Linked DNA regions of Saccharomyces cerevisiae S288C. Changing the gene in region 3 together with the main gene of any one other region gives a genetic interaction. Each region holds a gene or a part of one and is shown on either strand. Other genes may lie near its edges. The genes, in order: RAX1, YEA6, AXL1 and BUD8.

Region 1 (3,526 bases), on a different chromosome or scaffold from region 3:
GGGAGCTAGTTTTCCAGATGTGGTCAGATATGTAGTCTTGGCAGGTGTATTGAGAGTTCGATAAGCTAAACATATAATGTTTTTTTTATTTCAAATCTGCAAAAAGGGTATGTAGAAGAGTCGATTACCTTGTATTCTTTGCAGTATTTAAACAATTAGATGTTCGAGTGTATCTATGTGTTATAGTTCTGAAGAAAAAAAAAAAAAAAAAAAAGAAAAAGAAACGACGAGTCAAGAAAAGAAAAGAAAAAGGAGGGGCATGAAAAAAGAAATTGACCGAATAATCTAATGAACGTTGGATAGTTAAGTGTCTTACGAGAGAGCCTTATATATCATGTCATCGCCTTTTTTTTCCGCGAGAGGTGATAAGTGAAATCGCAACTATTTACTCATCATGAGGTAATGCGATGCGATGATGAGTCAAACACCCTTCCACGGGAAGCGCCAGCCGGCGCCCTCGGTAAAGCCTGCACTTAACGGCCCCTCGCTGTTTCTTGTACTTAGCGTCACGCGCTATGGAAATATGCGGTGCACAGGTGTTTTTATAGGGGGGTGATGGATTACATCATACACGACGGCCGGGAACACAGCTGAAAATAACTGTGAATGCGGCAGTGGCACCCACTACGAGAAGCAGACACCACAGTCCACGCTTACGTAGAAGCTGCCGAGTAAATGGGTGCTCTATGCGGGTAAGACGGCGCCTACCGCCGAACACCGCAAGTATCATTGGCACGTGATCGGTATCACTAGAAGCATCTCCTTCGTCATTGCCAGCGTTTTTGTGTCTGTGGAGAAGTCTCTGTGTGACGCCAAACCAGGAATACACAATGTCCACTTGATACATGCCACACACAATGCAGTAGCATCCCAGTGTAAATGGCACGACCGTAACGACACGGATTGCGCGACTATACGCCAGGAAGATTAGAACATATCCGATCCAAAAGCCGATGCCTAGCCAGAGCAAACCAAAGCCAATACGACTGATTGACGTGTGATTGGAGAATGGCGAGCGAGAAATGTGCGTCTGGCCTCGAGAGCGATTGCTTTTTTCGTTGGTGACGCCCACTGAGTGGAATCTCCAATCAGATATTTCATCGTGGATGTTGTGTAGTGCGACGCGGCTTAGAAATTTTGGGAAACAATCCATTTCTAGGAATTGGTAAGTTAGGTTTTTTAGGTCGTCAAAAATCTCAATGTCGTACTTTCGCTCGATTTGTACGCTTTCTATTATGCGGTTCCGCGTTTCCATGGGGATGTTGCTCAGGTACCGTTCGCTTTGTTCGGGCGATACTAAATAGGTGTTGCAGAGACCAACTGCGCTGTGCAGCAGTTGTTTTGTAGTTATCTGCGGTTTTCCGTCTTGTTGGGAGCGCCTTTTCATTATCTCGTCGACGATCAGCGCTACGTCTTCGTTTCTCAGGGCTTCTTGACCGATACCCGATTGGTGCTTCCAATCACCCAGCAATTCGTTTAATTTTGGTGAAAAGGGCACGTCTGGGCCGCTATTTTCTAAGAGTTTATCAGGTGCTTCCGGGTCTAGGTGCCCTTCTTCTATCAGTGCGTTCAGCAAGTCAAATGTAGCCGTAGATGTACTTCCATTCTGCTGTTGTTCTTGTGGAAAGTTGATTAATGATTTTCTTACCAACTCTATGTAGTTTTTGCAAAGTCGTGTATGTGTCATAAGGTCAACCCAAAAGTCCAGATAGTTGATGGCATATGGGAATTGTGAAAGAAATGTATAAAAAGTCCAGAGATCAACTGGCTGCGATGTCCTCTGTATTAACACTTCATACAATGTTGGCAATCGTTCACGCTGGATCATCTCGAAATTTTGCATACTGCTCACTTTGCTGAGCTCTTCCTTCATGATGAATGGGACGCTCTTGAACTTTCTTTTTGGCAGAAATTGTTAGAGGTCGTTGTGCACAATGAATTTCCCGTATGTGTTTTATTGATATTTTCGTTTTGCCCGCATTCTCGAAACACGAATATTTTTCCTCGAATGGCGGCGGGCGGCGAAGTTACATAACCAGCATTGCTCTGTATTAATGTATGCTGGGTTTTCTTTAAAGTGACCCAAGAGTTTGACACAACGTTGAAGCGTATCGCCAATTTTTTTTGGATTATATATACGTATTAATGTCTTTTTATCGTATTTATGCATCGTAGCATCCAATGGTGCAAGTAGTGAAGAAATTGAGCAAATTCTCCTGCACCAAGTTGAGAACAGTTTCTGGATATCTTGACGAGATTTCATTCGAAACTTTGGTCAGACTCATATCTTGAATAACCACACTTAAACAATCAAGTAAACTTATGGAAAATTCCGTATACCAACGGTGGTTCCAGCAGCATATCTTCACGCAAAGGTCGATAATGCTATTGTCTAGCTCTCTTATGCGTGAGCTTACTATTTCAGGGACCATGTCATGCGAATTAGGTGAGTTTATAAAATTTTTGACCCGTTGGCGTTCGTTTATACAATATTCCAGCAGTTTCCTCGCGCACCTTGATGAAAATCTCTGCGATAAACCGTTCTGGAAGGCCTTGGCGGCCTCAGGGAAATGGCCCAGTCGACGTGCACAAAGGCCAAATAACTCCCATTCGAAAGTCAACTTATTGTGGTTGTTATTCTGTGCATCCATGTACAGTTGTTCGGTTTGCCATAATGTATACATCTTCAGGTCTTCATATAAAAGCATGAAGAGGTTGTCTAACCATCGTTCACACAGCCGTTTAGCCCTCAGAGGCTGTTCTTCTTGTTTGTTAACGTCCTTTGGTAACGAAGATGATGATTTTTGGTACTCTTCTTCCATAACGAAAATGTTTGATCTGTACTTTAACAGATTTTCCCAGCCGGTGATCTGCACAATTTCTGTCAATAATCGGTATGCCAATTGGAAAGTAGATTTCAAGTTCGACGCAGCTAAATTGACCAGCATTGGATCCGCAGAGCGGTGTTCATTCTGAACGTCTTGTGGATTCAACGACGTCACTTCATCCAGTACAACGTCAATTGGCAATGGCAAATGAAGACTATTATTCGAAGGCAACGGAGCTACTCTTTTCAGTACGTATTTTTCCTTTAATGGAGACATAGGGCATGAATTCAGTATCAGTAAGGCATTTTCAATATCATTTAGCTTTACATACACCTTGGATAAAAGATACCAAGGTCTAAATTCACTGGGAGAACAATTGACTGCCTCTTGCGCTATGTTTTGCGCCAAGCTGTAATCCTGCCTTTTGTCTATCAAAAATTGCGCTTGTAAGCACAGTAATTCAGATTTATAATCCATGCGGTTATTAGTGTTGTTTATTATTTTATCCTGCGAAAGCATATCGTATGTGAGCTTTATTGCGTCTAATTCTTGATCACACACCAAAAAGATCTTGATTAGTATTATGATCGCCTCAGGGTTGTCGGTAGCCAGATTCTTCAACATTATTTCCGCCCTGCTAACATTACGAGTCAGCTTAACTATCTCAACGAGTGTTTCTACCAAATAGTTATTAGTGT
Region 2 (3,257 bases), on a different chromosome or scaffold from region 3:
GAATTGAATTAAAATAGGTTCGGGTAAAACGGATAGTTCTTCAAAAAATACTGTATTTCCAGCGTTTCTAAATAACAATAGCATTTGGGAAAACCTTCTTTTACTATTCGAACAAGAAACAGTTTTTTGTTTAGTTTTTTAATCTGGATATTCAGCAGCTATTTCGGCAGTGCACACCCGCAAGAAAAATATACATAATGCTACAATACTCCTAAAATATTATATAAAGTATGAATAAGGTTCAAGTCGTTCTCACGAGCCAAATGAACCTCAAATCTACATTTCTTCCCCTACGAAATGTAGTGAGATTCCTGGGATGAATAAATTCTTTTTTTGCTCTTTATTTGCAACATACTAAAGGTTTAAAACTACTTGATTTTGCGAGTAGCCCGACGTAAAGAGGAATACATAGTCAAGACAGGGGTCATGAGGTTGAAACAATTGCGAAAGATGCTTTTTACGACCCTCAGCTTGTGTCATGTACATTTTTCTGTTTCACTTTATTGAAAAAAAGTAGTTAAATACTTTTTAGAATATTCAAACGATACTAGTGTTACCACAGCAGCAGGTACTGTCCTTACCAAATTAGTTGCAAACCCAGAGTAAAAGCCGGCGAAGCCCTCTTGCCTATACGTAATTTTAATCAATGGAAGGAGATGGCGTTGAACAGTATTTGGAAGATCGGATTTCAGTTGCATTCGAGTTCGAAGTATTTCGTGAGGATAAGTCACGGTAGATGCTACCATTTTAGATAGCATAGAGGCCAATATTAATTTTTGAAAGTTTGAGCTCGTCACATCTGTCGATACGTCAGTCGATTCTGAATATCCGAACCTTATTTTTAAATTTTCATATAAAGGAAACTGTATAGCAACGTTCAGCATCCCCAGCAGGGCTGGTACTAAGCCGGCATAAAGAGCCTTAGCACCCTCTTGTTGAATGATCTTTCTAAATGTGTCTATGGTACCCTTATAATGGGTGGAATATTTACCGATACCTGTTTGCAGCATAAGTCTTGTTTTTACTACCCAAATCGGATTTGTCGCAACTGTAGAGATGGCACCTGCAGTAATTGCAGAAGAAGCGTTTGAGAGAAACGGACTATGTGGGAAAATATCGACCGAATATTTTCTACAGAAATCATAGACGGAAAAGTAAATCATCAAAGTAGGAATATAACCTAAAACCGTCGGCTGTAGACCTTTATAAAGCCCAGCAGCACCTTCATCCTTGAAAATAGTAGCAAATGTACCAAAAAACCCCTTATAATGTTGACTTTGGTGTGTCATGTTTTGGAGACCTTGTGCTTGTAATCTTGTTTTCGCAACGTCAAAAGGACAGACCAGCATTGCGGATAGTGCACCAGATAAAGCACCTGAAATTGCAGCAACTCTAGGGTCAGCATTCTTTTTCAGCCTATTTAGTTTTGTGGGAATCGCATAATTTCCATTAGCTAGTGACGCATTTTTTGAGTTTTCTAATGTCGTTTTATTGTCTCCATTATTCATTATATAGCCGTGATGTATATTCCGCTTTTCATCAAACAATGAAAATAAGTTGAGAACAACTAATTTCGATGTACGTCCAAATTATATGTTTATTTGCTTATATATCAATTTGCTTATCTTTTCCACTTCATTTTTCCACCAGCGCGAGTATGTCGAGAATCATTTTCGACAGCATCTTCAAAAAATACACTAAGCTATCTTTCGTAGAAAATGTTGACAGAGGGGATTCTTTAATAAAGATATTTTATGATGTCAAAAGGAATAGCTTTTTTCCATAGGCAAATGAAGATGAAATTAAAGGCATGATTACGTAAAGAAGCGAAGTATATAAAACTGTAAAATGAAAAATGATATAATTTTCATGAGTAAACCCGATACTCAAAAAGGCAAGGAGAAGAAAAGAAAATCGGAGTACTTTTTTAAAATATATTTACTTATTGTGTAGTAGTTGAAGTGTTTGTATTGAGGTTGTTCATCGTATCATTATTGGTGATGTTTAAGATATTATTGTTCGCGTGACCCATAGCGAAGTTTTTGTGGTCGTTGGGCTCTTGTTGATAGTGATGATGTTGAGGATCAGATCCAATAGTGCTCAAAGTGTGACCAGAGCTCATTATATTTTGTTGAGGCGTCGCTATTGGATATACAGTGGGCAAAGGATGTTGGTGCTGGTGTTGATACATAGACGGATTTTGAGCACTTGCCATGGCATATTGGGGGAATCCCTGGTAATACACTTGCGATGGAGTGTACTGAGAATTAGCGTATGCAGGATTTGATAGCATGGTGCCTGAGTTAGTGCTTGTAGCACCAGAAGGTTCTGCATTCGTATTTGAAGTAGTATTTTCTTGTGCCCTCTTGTATGCAGAAGCAGAAGAATTGTAATAAGGAACATTCACATTCATAGAATACACCGGATAAGGAGCTGTAGAGGTAGCAGAGCTTGCACTATTATTATTGGCTTGATGGAGTAGTGGCTGCATACTGGATACGGGAAGGACATTCTCGGCTGTACCAGGAGTGCCAGTAGCGCCTGCGGCTGCTGATGCTGATTGACTTTCAGTAGGATGCCCATAATAAGGGTGTTGAGTTGAGGAGGTGGAATAGCCTTGATTCTCGTTCGTTGAAGCGTTTGTTACAGGGTTTGGAGGTTGTGTGGTATAATAGTTAGGATTGTTTATCGGAATTGTTGTATAATAAAATGGATAAGAAATTTGTCCTTGTTGTTGCGGATTAATAAAGTCACCGGTGGTGTTATAAGCAAAAGAGGCGTTATGGAATCTATTTGGATTGTTACCGTTCCCTGCATTAGTATTGACATTATTAATATTATTAATATTATTATTATTGTTATTATTATTATTATTATTATTATTATTATTATTGTTACTATTATTACTATTACTACTGTTATTACTATTATTATTGTTATTATTAACATGTGTATTCATACCAGTAGCGTTAGTGTTATCAGGAGATTGAGTGATATAAGGTGGATTCGCCGTATACATCAAAGTTGTTGATGGTAATGCGGGAGCAAATTGAGTGATTGGGTATCCAGAGCTTTCATCATTTTTATAATAATAATTTTTGTTTGCACTAGTAAATTGATTACTGCCAGCAGCATTTATATTAGCACTATTGTTATTCGTGGAAATAACAGTATTCAGGGGAGTGGAAGAGTTGCTTTTATTGTTTATATTATTAGGACCATTACCGGTGGTAGTGGAATTGTTTTTCACGTTGCCT
Region 3 (6,175 bases):
GTTTATGCTGTAGACAAAGTTAAGGATAAGATAACAGCAGCAGAGGGTTCTATTTATAGTGAATGGTGTGATACTTGCGCGTCTTCATTTTGCTACCAAGCTGTGCTTGAAGGTGAAAGGCTCATGAATCACATCTTGGAAACATATCCTCCAGATCAACTTGATTCTTTGGTGACGATCTTTGCAAGAGGTTGTGAATTAGAAACTAATTTCTGGACCGCCGCCATGGAATACGAATGATAGTTACAATATTTTTAACAGAATATATAAAATACATATACAGAAATGATAAACTATAAACGCAAAAGATTAGCGATACGAAAAAAGGATTTCTCGCTATTATATCAATTTATAAAGAGATCCTTTGGAAATATAAATTATGTTCATTTCATTTTTTCAACTTCTAGAAGGATGACTAACTATTGTTTCCATTTGCTAGCATGGTAAATTAATACATTTTTGAATTTGCTGCTAGGGTACAATACCATGCAATGTTTATAATATAAATCAAAGTGACAGAGATTCCTAAAAGCTAAAACAAATCCATTGATAATATAATAGTAGGTTGGTCAATTCACCGCAGATTCAATGTAAGTATTGATACTCCATAAATGTTAACTTCAGGTTGATATTCGTTACAAAAATCTTAGTTTGCTTTTCATTACTATCTGAACGGAATGCTCAACATTTTTCTTATTCTACAATTGTACAATGTCACGTAAACAGTTTGATTTGTGTATTTACAGTGGAAACATTTTACTTGTTGGCAATAGTACATGCGCAGATAATCAAAAACCATTGTTTCCGACATTATTTCTGACAATTGCTTGAATTTGCTGAACACTTTTCGAGGTACATTCTGATAAAGAGTGCATTATTAGTTATTTAGAGTATATTAAGACATCTTCTCGAAGATATATAAATTCGTAAAGGAAACAAAAATTTCGGGATAACAAAAAAGTTTCTTCTTTTTACGTATTAAATGGTCTATTCATCGATCCTATTTCACTATCAATCCTATTATATTATCAACTTTTGCATTTCTGCTTCCACCAAAGTCGACGGCTGTTTCTCATCGTTTATGTAATATCATAACGCATGTATGACATTATATCAGTGGCATGAGCGCTAGTCCATGAAATAGGAGTTTAACTCCAACATACGGAACATTCGCATTATCGCACACGTAAGACTCGATATATTAAGGAAGGAATTTCCGAGTTGGATTAATAAAGGAAAAATAAAATATAGTGTTGGAAATATAGTTGCCTCAGAATAATATCAATATAATATTAAAACGTATATAGTTAGATACCCGGTATTATTCGAGTACGCATTAATTCAGCAGTATGACTTTCTGTGCCTGCTTATATATTGTAACCGTATGTTGTTCTACCTTAAAAATTTGCTAAATTGAAGGAATTGACTATCGTCACTGAAGAGTATTCGTATTATGGTATTATGATACATTGTCTAAAAAAAGGATACCATTTTTCTTCAATAGAACAAGAAGAGAATCTAAGGACACCATTTCGAGAAATAGTTTACACAGTATATCCAATAACTCCAATAAACTACTTTCCTATACAAATTTCCGATGGTTGGATTAATAGTAAAACTTCTATACTTCTTTCATCCATCAAGAAATTAAGGTAAACATCTGGTAAGCACTATCCAACTTTTTTCTGTTACACATATGGTTTTTCTGCAATCATTTCTTCCCACTTTGCATGAGTAAGTGTCCCATTTTGTCTCAAGCCGTTAATCTTGAAACCGCAGGCGGAGTTACTTGATGCGGTATTTTACATGCCTTTTTTCACTGCAAGAAAAAAATGAAACACTTATTTACACGATTTTCAGGATAGTTTACGCTGGTGAGTATGCAGAACAGTTAACACCTTTGTTTTATCCTTTTGTGTCTTGATTATATAATATAAATGTGCCTGGCGTTAAAAAATAGCAACTGAATAAGTTTTTTTACTGATGTCCTTGAGAGAAGTAACTAATTATGAAGTCTCGTTTTACATCCCGTTGTCTTACAGCAACAGGACTCATAAAGTTTGTAAACTGCCAAACGGAATTTTAGCATTAATAATATCGGATCCAACAGATACTTCAAGCTCATGCTCACTGACTGTTTGCACAGGTTCCCATAACGATCCAAAGGATATTGCCGGTTTGGCGCACCTTTGTGAGCACATGATTCTTTCTGCCGGTTCCAAAAAATACCCTGATCCTGGTTTATTCCACACACTAATCGCAAAAAACAACGGCTCTCAAAATGCCTTTACCACAGGGGAGCAAACGACTTTTTATTTTGAATTGCCCAATACTCAAAATAACGGCGAATTTACATTTGAATCTATCTTAGATGTGTTTGCCTCATTCTTCAAAGAACCGCTCTTCAACCCTTTACTGATAAGCAAGGAGATATATGCAATACAAAGTGAGCATGAGGGAAACATATCATCAACCACAAAAATATTCTACCACGCAGCAAGAATATTGGCCAATCCCGACCATCCTTTCAGTCGCTTTTCCACTGGGAACATACACTCGTTATCTAGCATTCCACAACTGAAAAAAATAAAACTAAAGAGCTCATTAAACACTTACTTCGAAAATAATTTTTTTGGGGAGAATATAACCTTGTGCATAAGGGGACCGCAGTCTGTTAATATTCTTACGAAACTAGCTCTATCAAAATTTGGCGATATAAAACCCAAAAGCGCTGTAAAGGAAAGGAGTATATCGATTAGGACGAGGTCATTTCGAAGATCGAAGTCTTTAAAAAAACGCCAAGATTCTTCCAAAAACGACTACAGTGACTTGAAAACCTTTAAAATACTGAACACAACGTGGGAAAAAAAATACAAAAATACGATGTGTTTTCAACAATTTCCTGAATGCAATTCGATATTTATCAATTCAAATAAGGTACCTATAATGAGACTTCTCTTTCCTGTTAGCGATAAAAACACTCGGTTTACAAAGGATGACATTAAAATATACAGTCATCTTTGGTGTGAACTTTTCGGCGATGAGTCTCCAGGATCTTTGAGCTATTACTTAGCTTCAAAAGGCTGGCTCACAGGCTGTTTTGCCTTTACCTCAGAATTCGCTATTGGTGACATAGGATTAATTTTGGAATTAGAACTGACAAACAGTGGCTGGGAAAATATTAAGAGAATTACGACAATAGTACTTAATAGACTCTTGCCTTCCTTTTACGTAATGAACATCGATTACTTAATCACTTTTTTGAAAGAACAGAATTTGATCGACCTCGTTAGCTTTCTGTACCAAAGTTCAGAGGATCTTCCAATGGAAGAGTGCTCAAAATTAAGCGGTATTCTTCAGGACGATTTAGAATGTTTAACCCCCCCTAATATATTCAAAGGATTTAAATCTCTTATAGAAATAGATGATCCCAACATCGAAAAATATGAAAACACAAAGGCCAATATACAATGGTGGACAGGGCAAGCTATTAAGTTCCAAAATTTTTTAAAATCTTTCATGAATCATGACAACATGCGCCTTTTACTCTTAGGGAATATAAAATCTGGTAATATATTTGATAAAATGAAAAATAAAAGTGATATATGCACCGATTTTTTCTATGAATTTGAGTATTATACGGCAAACGTTCATCTAGCAAGTGATAATAAATTTCATTCAAACAGCTCGTATGAATTTAATTTTCCCACAGGTAATCTTTTTTTACCAGATTGCGTCAGCGATCCTTTAAAACTACAACAGCTCTTCTTAGAATGCTCGTTAAAATCGAAATTTGCTACGCTTAGACCTCAAATTTATAGTGAGCCCACTAGGACAAAGCCTCAATTAGTCAGTGAGAACCAGAATTATGAGATGTGGATCTTAAAAGAAGACCCAAATTTTGCCTCAGACAATAAATCCGTCGTATCATTTGAAGTTTTGGGGTTAGGCATCAAACCTAGTCCGGAGGCAACAATCCACCTGGAAGTACTAGCACAGGCATTATTTATCATCACCTCTTCATTCCTTTATCCCGCTCTGAGAATTGGTTACACATATGAGATTGCCTCATCTAGTAAGGGCAACGTAACACTGCGATTTACTATTTCTGGATTCCCTGAGGGTGTTTTCACAATAGTAAAGACGTTCGTGGATACGCTAAAACTTATTGCAACAGATCCAACGTTTCTTTCTAAAGATACCTTGAGAAAGGCAAGGATTTTAGTTAGAAATAAATACAAGAACGCGTCATCGGACAACTGCGTGAAGCTAGCTAGCGTTGGATTGCTGATTGTTTTAGAGAAATATATATGGACTTTAGAGGATAGAATTAATGCATTAGAGCTTACCGAGTTGGAATCCTTCGAAAAATTTTGTTTTTTATTCTGGAGGAATCCTAAACATTTGGTCTTGTTCATGCAGGGAAGCCTTGAATATGCTGACGCAATCAACCGTTACTTAAATAACAATTTTACGCAGCACCTAAAAATCAGCAATGAAGGGAGCAAACCGACCATACGTCTCTACCCTCCTCCCAGTACAAAAGATCTAGATCAAGGCACAAATGCCTTTATATCATATAATGGTCACCAGGATGATCCCAACAATAGTATTGTGTATTTTATTCAGACTGCACAAAGAGATGACATCAAAAATCTGACACTAACCTTTCTTACCGAATATCTATTTTCACTAACGCTAGTGCCTGATCTAAGAAATAAAAAGCAAATTGGGTACATTGTTTTGGGAGGACTCAGGGTTTTAACAGACACTGTTGGGATTCATATAACCGTAATGTCTGGCAGCTCGGGGCACAATCTGGAAACTAGGATCAATGAGTACTTATCTTACTTGCAGCTGCAGGTGCTAAATAGATTCACCGAGTTTGATTTTCGAAGGATACTTCTAGAGCCGTTCTTAAATCTTTTAAAACAGAACAGTACGAAACAGTTTGAAGGGTCGGCTGGTCCTGTAGACCTATTAAATGAGATAGTGGCAAATGTGCAAAATGGTGATAATTACACTCTCAACAATAAACAAATGAGACAACATAGGAAGGTAAGAAATAAAATTGCGGAAGGAAGGCTTAATTTTCAAGAAGATCATGAAATGATTGATATCTCATTTTTGCAAAAATTAACTCTAAAGAAATATTTAGCATTCTTCGAGTCCAAAATCTCTATATATTCCGCTCAAAGAAGTAAGCTATCAATAATGATCACAAGTCCAATGGCAGAGAAGGAAATTGCAAGCAGGAAAATGTTCCTTCAGCTAGAGGCCTTTCTGAAAATAAACGGATTCGCCATAAAAAATGAAGACTTGAAGAAAATTGTCGAACATTCAAAGGGAAATCCTATTTTACTTGTAAAGAACCTTTTTACTTATTTTCGTAGGAGAAATGAAGTTTTCAAGCTCGGAACCGTTGTATTGCAGGAAATATTGAAAATCATCGGAATGAATCTTAAGCAGAGATACGGCTCTATATTAGGGTTTTCTTCCCAAGATGGTGAAGGACAAGAAATAGAAAAATTTTGGAACAACGACACAAGTCCGATTGTTCCTCTTCAGGAGCTTCCTGAACCAAACTTTTTCCGCAAGGCCGCATTTTGAACCGTATTTTGCTCGTTCCAGCCTTTCCACGTTTTTGTTATCTAAGCAACTTGGCACATTTCCCTACTATACTACAAACCGATACGTAAATACTTCCCTAAATAGCATATGAATTATTCAGTAATTTTTAAGGATCGAAACTGCACCTCAACTATTCGTTACTGTGGTTATGTTCTCATGTATTGATGCAAATCATGGGATATTTGCTCAAGACGACGGTAAAATGAGCAAAAATGGCACGATCCTGAAAAGAGCACTTTTCAAGATTCGGGCTACAAAATGCAACATAAAAAATGTTGTATTGTCATCTCGAGAGGGTCTTGTATGTTTTATTCCTCTTATGATTAGTTCACATTAGTAAAACAGATACGCAGTGTGCTCTTAATAAACAACTACTCCATAGCTTTATTTGCATAACAAAACTTTTAAGCACAAACTTAAACAGGTGGAGTAATAGTTCGGCGGCGACTCAAATTACATTTGTTGGAAGAATCGAATAGAAAATAAAAAAAAGTGTATTATATTTGACATTCAAAATGGAAGGTATGAATATGGGTAGCAGCAT
Region 4 (4,226 bases), on a different chromosome or scaffold from region 3:
AGAAGTACGGTTACAAGACTATTGTTATGGGTGCTTCTTTCAGAAGCACTGACGAAATCAAAAACTTGGCTGGTGTTGACTATCTAACAATTTCTCCAGCTTTATTGGACAAGTTGATGAACAGTACTGAACCTTTCCCAAGAGTTTTGGACCCTGTCTCCGCTAAGAAGGAAGCCGGCGACAAGATTTCTTACATCAGCGACGAATCTAAATTCAGATTCGACTTGAATGAAGACGCTATGGCCACTGAAAAATTGTCCGAAGGTATCAGAAAATTCTCTGCCGATATTGTTACTCTATTCGACTTGATTGAAAAGAAAGTTACCGCTTAAGGAAGTATCTCGGAAATATTAATTTAGGCCATGTCCTTATGCACGTTTCTTTTGATACTTACGGGTACATGTACACAAGTATATCTATATATATAAATTAATGAAAATCCCCTATTTATATATATGACTTTAACGAGACAGAACAGTTTTTTATTTTTTATCCTATTTGATGAATGATACAGTTTCTTATTCACGTGTTATACCCACACCAAATCCAATAGCAATACCGGCCATCACAATCACTGTTTCGGCAGCCCCTAAGATCAGACAAAACATCCGGAACCACCTTAAATCAACGTCCCATATGAATCCTTGCAGCAAAGCCGCTCGGTGTTCTTTATTCATAAGCAACCTCATTAATCTATAGTCTGAAACTAATTTCCTTCTTGAGCTGCAGCCAATAATAAAAAATAATGGCGGCACTATACTACAACATAGGAGGATCACAATGATGTTTTCGATGCTGTAAACGTCCCTGAATCCATTTTGACCTGAATCAAACGAATGAATGGAAGCGGTATCGATATGTTGAATTGGCATTCTCGCCTCCAGGTCTATATTTTCAGCATCGTGCCTGTCTTCTTTCCTATTATCAGTTTTTTCTTGTTGCTTTCGTCGTATGCTTCGAGCTGGCTTTTCTATAATGGAGTTCTGTCCCGTGTCTGACTCCGAGCTTTGAGATTTAATTGGAGCTAGCACGAGGGGTTGTCCATGTTCTGGCAACGTTTTATTTTTCTTCTTGTTCATCTTGGTCAATGGAGAGGGCGTCTTGTGTCCTTCATAGCGTGAAAATGGATCAGACTTAGTTGAATTTCCAGATTCTAAGCGTAAAGGTGTCTTCGTCCATTTGCTTGGTCCGGACACACTTCTTAATACGGGAATTGAAGGTAGTCCAATTGGTGGACCTTCTTCTTCTAGGGATGTGGAGGGCTTGCGCGTAGATTTTGAACTGAATTTTTCTTCATTATTATGCCCTATATGGTCTTTAGGAGAACTTTCGTTACTACTGTCACTATTGTGTGAAGGAATCAATATGTTACCAATTAACGATGGACTCTGAGGAATTTTAATCTTCCTTGCCGACGTACCTGGCGCACCTGGCGAATGCGAATCATCACTTGTCGACGACTTTATTGATCCAGCCTTCTCTGGAATTTTTAGTTTGTGCGGTATAAATTTTGATTCATTCACAGGTTCGTATTGATCTATGACTTCATCCTCGGTCTCGCCTTCACCTTTACTGCCAGTTGAGCTTATAAAATTAACATTAGAAGTTTTATTCTTCGTTAGCCTCACTGCCTCTTCAACATCTGGTTCTAAGGTGTCATCGTAATGGTATGAGAAAAATGAGTGTTCCGTTGTTTCATTAGGTTCAATTGAGGTAGGACGTGGAGGTGTTCCATTCTTTGACTCGTCGTTCCCGCGATTCGCCAAAGATGAGTATAATGAAGATACGACCCTACTATGCTCTTGCTCTATAGGGCTTCCTTCAACATCTTCTCCCATAAGAACTGAAGTTGATATTGTCAGTGCGCAACTTAATCTCTGCGAAGATGGTGAATTCACTGCTCTTTCTGGCCGTACCGCCGCGTTTTGTGAAGGAGTTACGTTCCTTAACGGTACGGTATCCTCGTTGTCTCGTCGAAGTGAAGTTGGCCTTACAGTAGTGTTGCTTGGTATATTATTATCTTGGGTATCGTGAAATTGTGTAATAGAGGACGAGTTGCTACTAGAGCTAGAGCTTGTGGATGCTCCCATTATTTGAGAAAACCTTTCATTGTTGATGTATACAGCAAATCCTTGACCTCTACTTGTGGTTTCATAGGCAACAGTAGCCATCTCTGTCTCCGCATCGGGGTTCCCATGTGCTCCATTAAGATTTTCAAAAAACAAGGATGTTCTTAGTTGTAGTCTGGATGATACAGAGGAAGTACCACTATATGAAGTTGATGCTGTCGTTTCAGAAGAGTCCAAATTATCTTCGTCTGATTGTATCATACTTCATGTAGAATCGAAAAAATTCTCAAGTAGAAAGAGGATATTGGGTATTGTCAAAAATGCTTCGATTCAAGAAAGAAACTCCTAGAGTTAAGAGAAAGTTATAGTCTAAATTGAATTAAAATAAGCGAATGTAATTGGATTTATTATCTTATCAAAAGAATGAAAAGTATACCGGTAATCGCCTAGAAATAAAAATCGTCAATAATGAATATTAAAAAAGCAATTGAATGGTCTTTCTTTTGTTAACTAGAAGTTCGAACAAAACAGAGGTCGCGACTGGAAAGCTTCCAGTTGTTTTTGGATATCTTTATTATTTTCCTTCCTAAACCAATTGCCTGTTCTTAGTATGGGGTATTGATAATTGATGGAAGGTGATTGAAAATTATAATGAATTTTGCAGGTATCGCTTACGCGCAATAAAAAAACACACCACAATGAACTTAATCCTACTCTTATTAGCGTCAGGACTATCCGGTTTGGCCTCTCTAGTAAGCGGATGAGTAAATCATTTTCTAATTGTTTTTTTATTCTCTCTTTTGGATCATTTTTCGCAATGTTTACCTTTTTCGGAGGAGAGAGGCTTCCCTTATGAAAAAAAAAAAAATGGAAAACTTAAAAATCACATTGCGTTTCGAGGCATTCTTCAATCAGTTGATAGGGGAAGGGAATTTGCTGCAATCATTAAATTCGTTTCCGAAAAGTCTGGCTAAATGGTAGACGATGTATGCAATATTTTACCATATATAGAAATCATATACAAGACACAAGACGAGAGCGGAGGAAGGGTAAGGAAGTAAAGAGAAAAATATCTATGCTTTTAAACTGTAGTATCTATACATTCCACGCTCAATGCACCCAAAAACTTGATATTCGTTGACTATTTCAAAATGTAATCTATATCTTTGAGTCGTCAGAGGATCCTTTGGATCATAGACAAATTCATCGGGATGCGTGAAATAATAATTCTTACGCTTGTGAAGGTGGTTGAAGTGGGAGAAGGATAGAAACGATGCCGAGGACGAGTGTTCACCAGTTAAACTTGGTCTTGTTTTATTTCCTGAACGTGAGCGCGAACTTTCAAATAAGTGAAGTTGGGACCTTCTCCGTTGCAAGTCGGGATCGTGCAAATATTCGTCGTCAGTCTCTTCAAAGTTTGCGATTGTTCTTAGTTCCTGCTGCTCATCAGCTAACTCCTGAATTCTTTGTTCTTGCAATGATAGCTCACGTAAATCATGGACCGACCTATCCCAGTACAAACCATCCCTGATTTGAGATGCAGGAGAAACATTGATAGCAAAGGGGTTGGCAGAGGAAGAACCATTGTTGCTTCTTAAAGTGGGTCTGCTCAACAGAGAATTCCTTCTTGGGATGGCATTCACGTGATTTTGGCTATCTTCCACATGACTGTTGTTGTCGTCCTCATTATGGATGATTCTCCACCCACCACGAGGTAATGTTGGGGTAATTATTGGTAGTGGAGTATCACCAAGGCTGATCGCACCTTTTCTATTTAAGAATTGAGAAACTGGTGGCTTTAAATCTCTGTAACATAGTTTACGTCTAATACCACTTTGAGGAACTAGACCACATCCAAGCATGATTTTACTTTGGGCAAACTTTAGGAAATCCGGCTGGTTTATAATTTCTATGATTTTGTGACCCTCAAAATCATACCTAGTTAAATTTGACTTAGAATCCAAGTCATCACGATTCAGGAAAGGATCAGTCTTATATAACCAATATCTCCTACCATAAGAAGAATCAATGTAACATTTCCACTTTACTTGTTCTGCTGTTGAAATATCTTTAATTACCGAATTTGGGTTTTTATATCTGTATGCAATAATTTCATGTCTATCATTTAGTTTTTCAATCTGTTGCCACGAGTCAAAG

Evidence for each region.
Region 1: of AXL1 (region 3) and RAX1, a mutation in one rescues a mutant of the other (synthetic rescue), as found in Saccharomyces cerevisiae (one study listed by BioGRID).
Region 2: mutations in AXL1 (region 3) and YEA6 together harm fitness more than expected from each alone (negative genetic interaction), as found in Saccharomyces cerevisiae (2 studies listed by BioGRID).
Region 4: of AXL1 (region 3) and BUD8, a mutation in one rescues a mutant of the other (synthetic rescue), as found in Saccharomyces cerevisiae (one study listed by BioGRID).

The regions. Positions count from the first base shown.
Region 1 is NC_001147.6:879,312-882,837, reverse strand, and holds RAX1 (Rax1p), read right to left. Parts: upstream 1,874-3,526; coding exon 566-1,873; downstream 1-565. Other genes in the region: YOR302W (uncharacterized protein), read right to left, coding at 1-73; BUD7 (exomer complex subunit), read right to left, coding at 2,163-3,526. UniProt on the Saccharomyces cerevisiae protein: Required for the establishment of the bipolar budding pattern. Involved in selecting bud sites at both the distal and proximal poles of daughter cells as well as near previously used division sites on mother cells.
Region 2 is NC_001137.3:142,578-145,834, reverse strand, and holds YEA6 (NAD+ transporter), read right to left. Parts: upstream 1,509-3,257; coding exon 501-1,508; downstream 1-500. Other genes in the region: MIT1 (Mit1p), read right to left, coding at 1,943-3,257.
Region 3 is NC_001148.4:780,062-786,236, forward strand, and holds AXL1 (Axl1p), read left to right. Parts: upstream 1-1,983; coding exon 1,984-5,610; downstream 5,611-6,175. Other genes in the region: THI22 (putative phosphomethylpyrimidine kinase), read left to right, coding at 1-240; high-affinity Cu transporter CTR1, read left to right, coding at 6,147-6,175. UniProt on the Saccharomyces cerevisiae protein: Probable protease. Involved in axial budding.
Region 4 is NC_001144.5:832,456-836,681, reverse strand, and holds BUD8 (Bud8p), read right to left. Parts: upstream 2,331-4,226; coding exon 519-2,330; downstream 1-518. Other genes in the region: sedoheptulose-7-phosphate:D-glyceraldehyde-3-phosphate transaldolase TAL1, read left to right, coding at 1-332; LUG1 (Lug1p), read right to left, coding at 3,143-4,226. UniProt on the Saccharomyces cerevisiae protein: Involved in positioning the distal bud pole signal.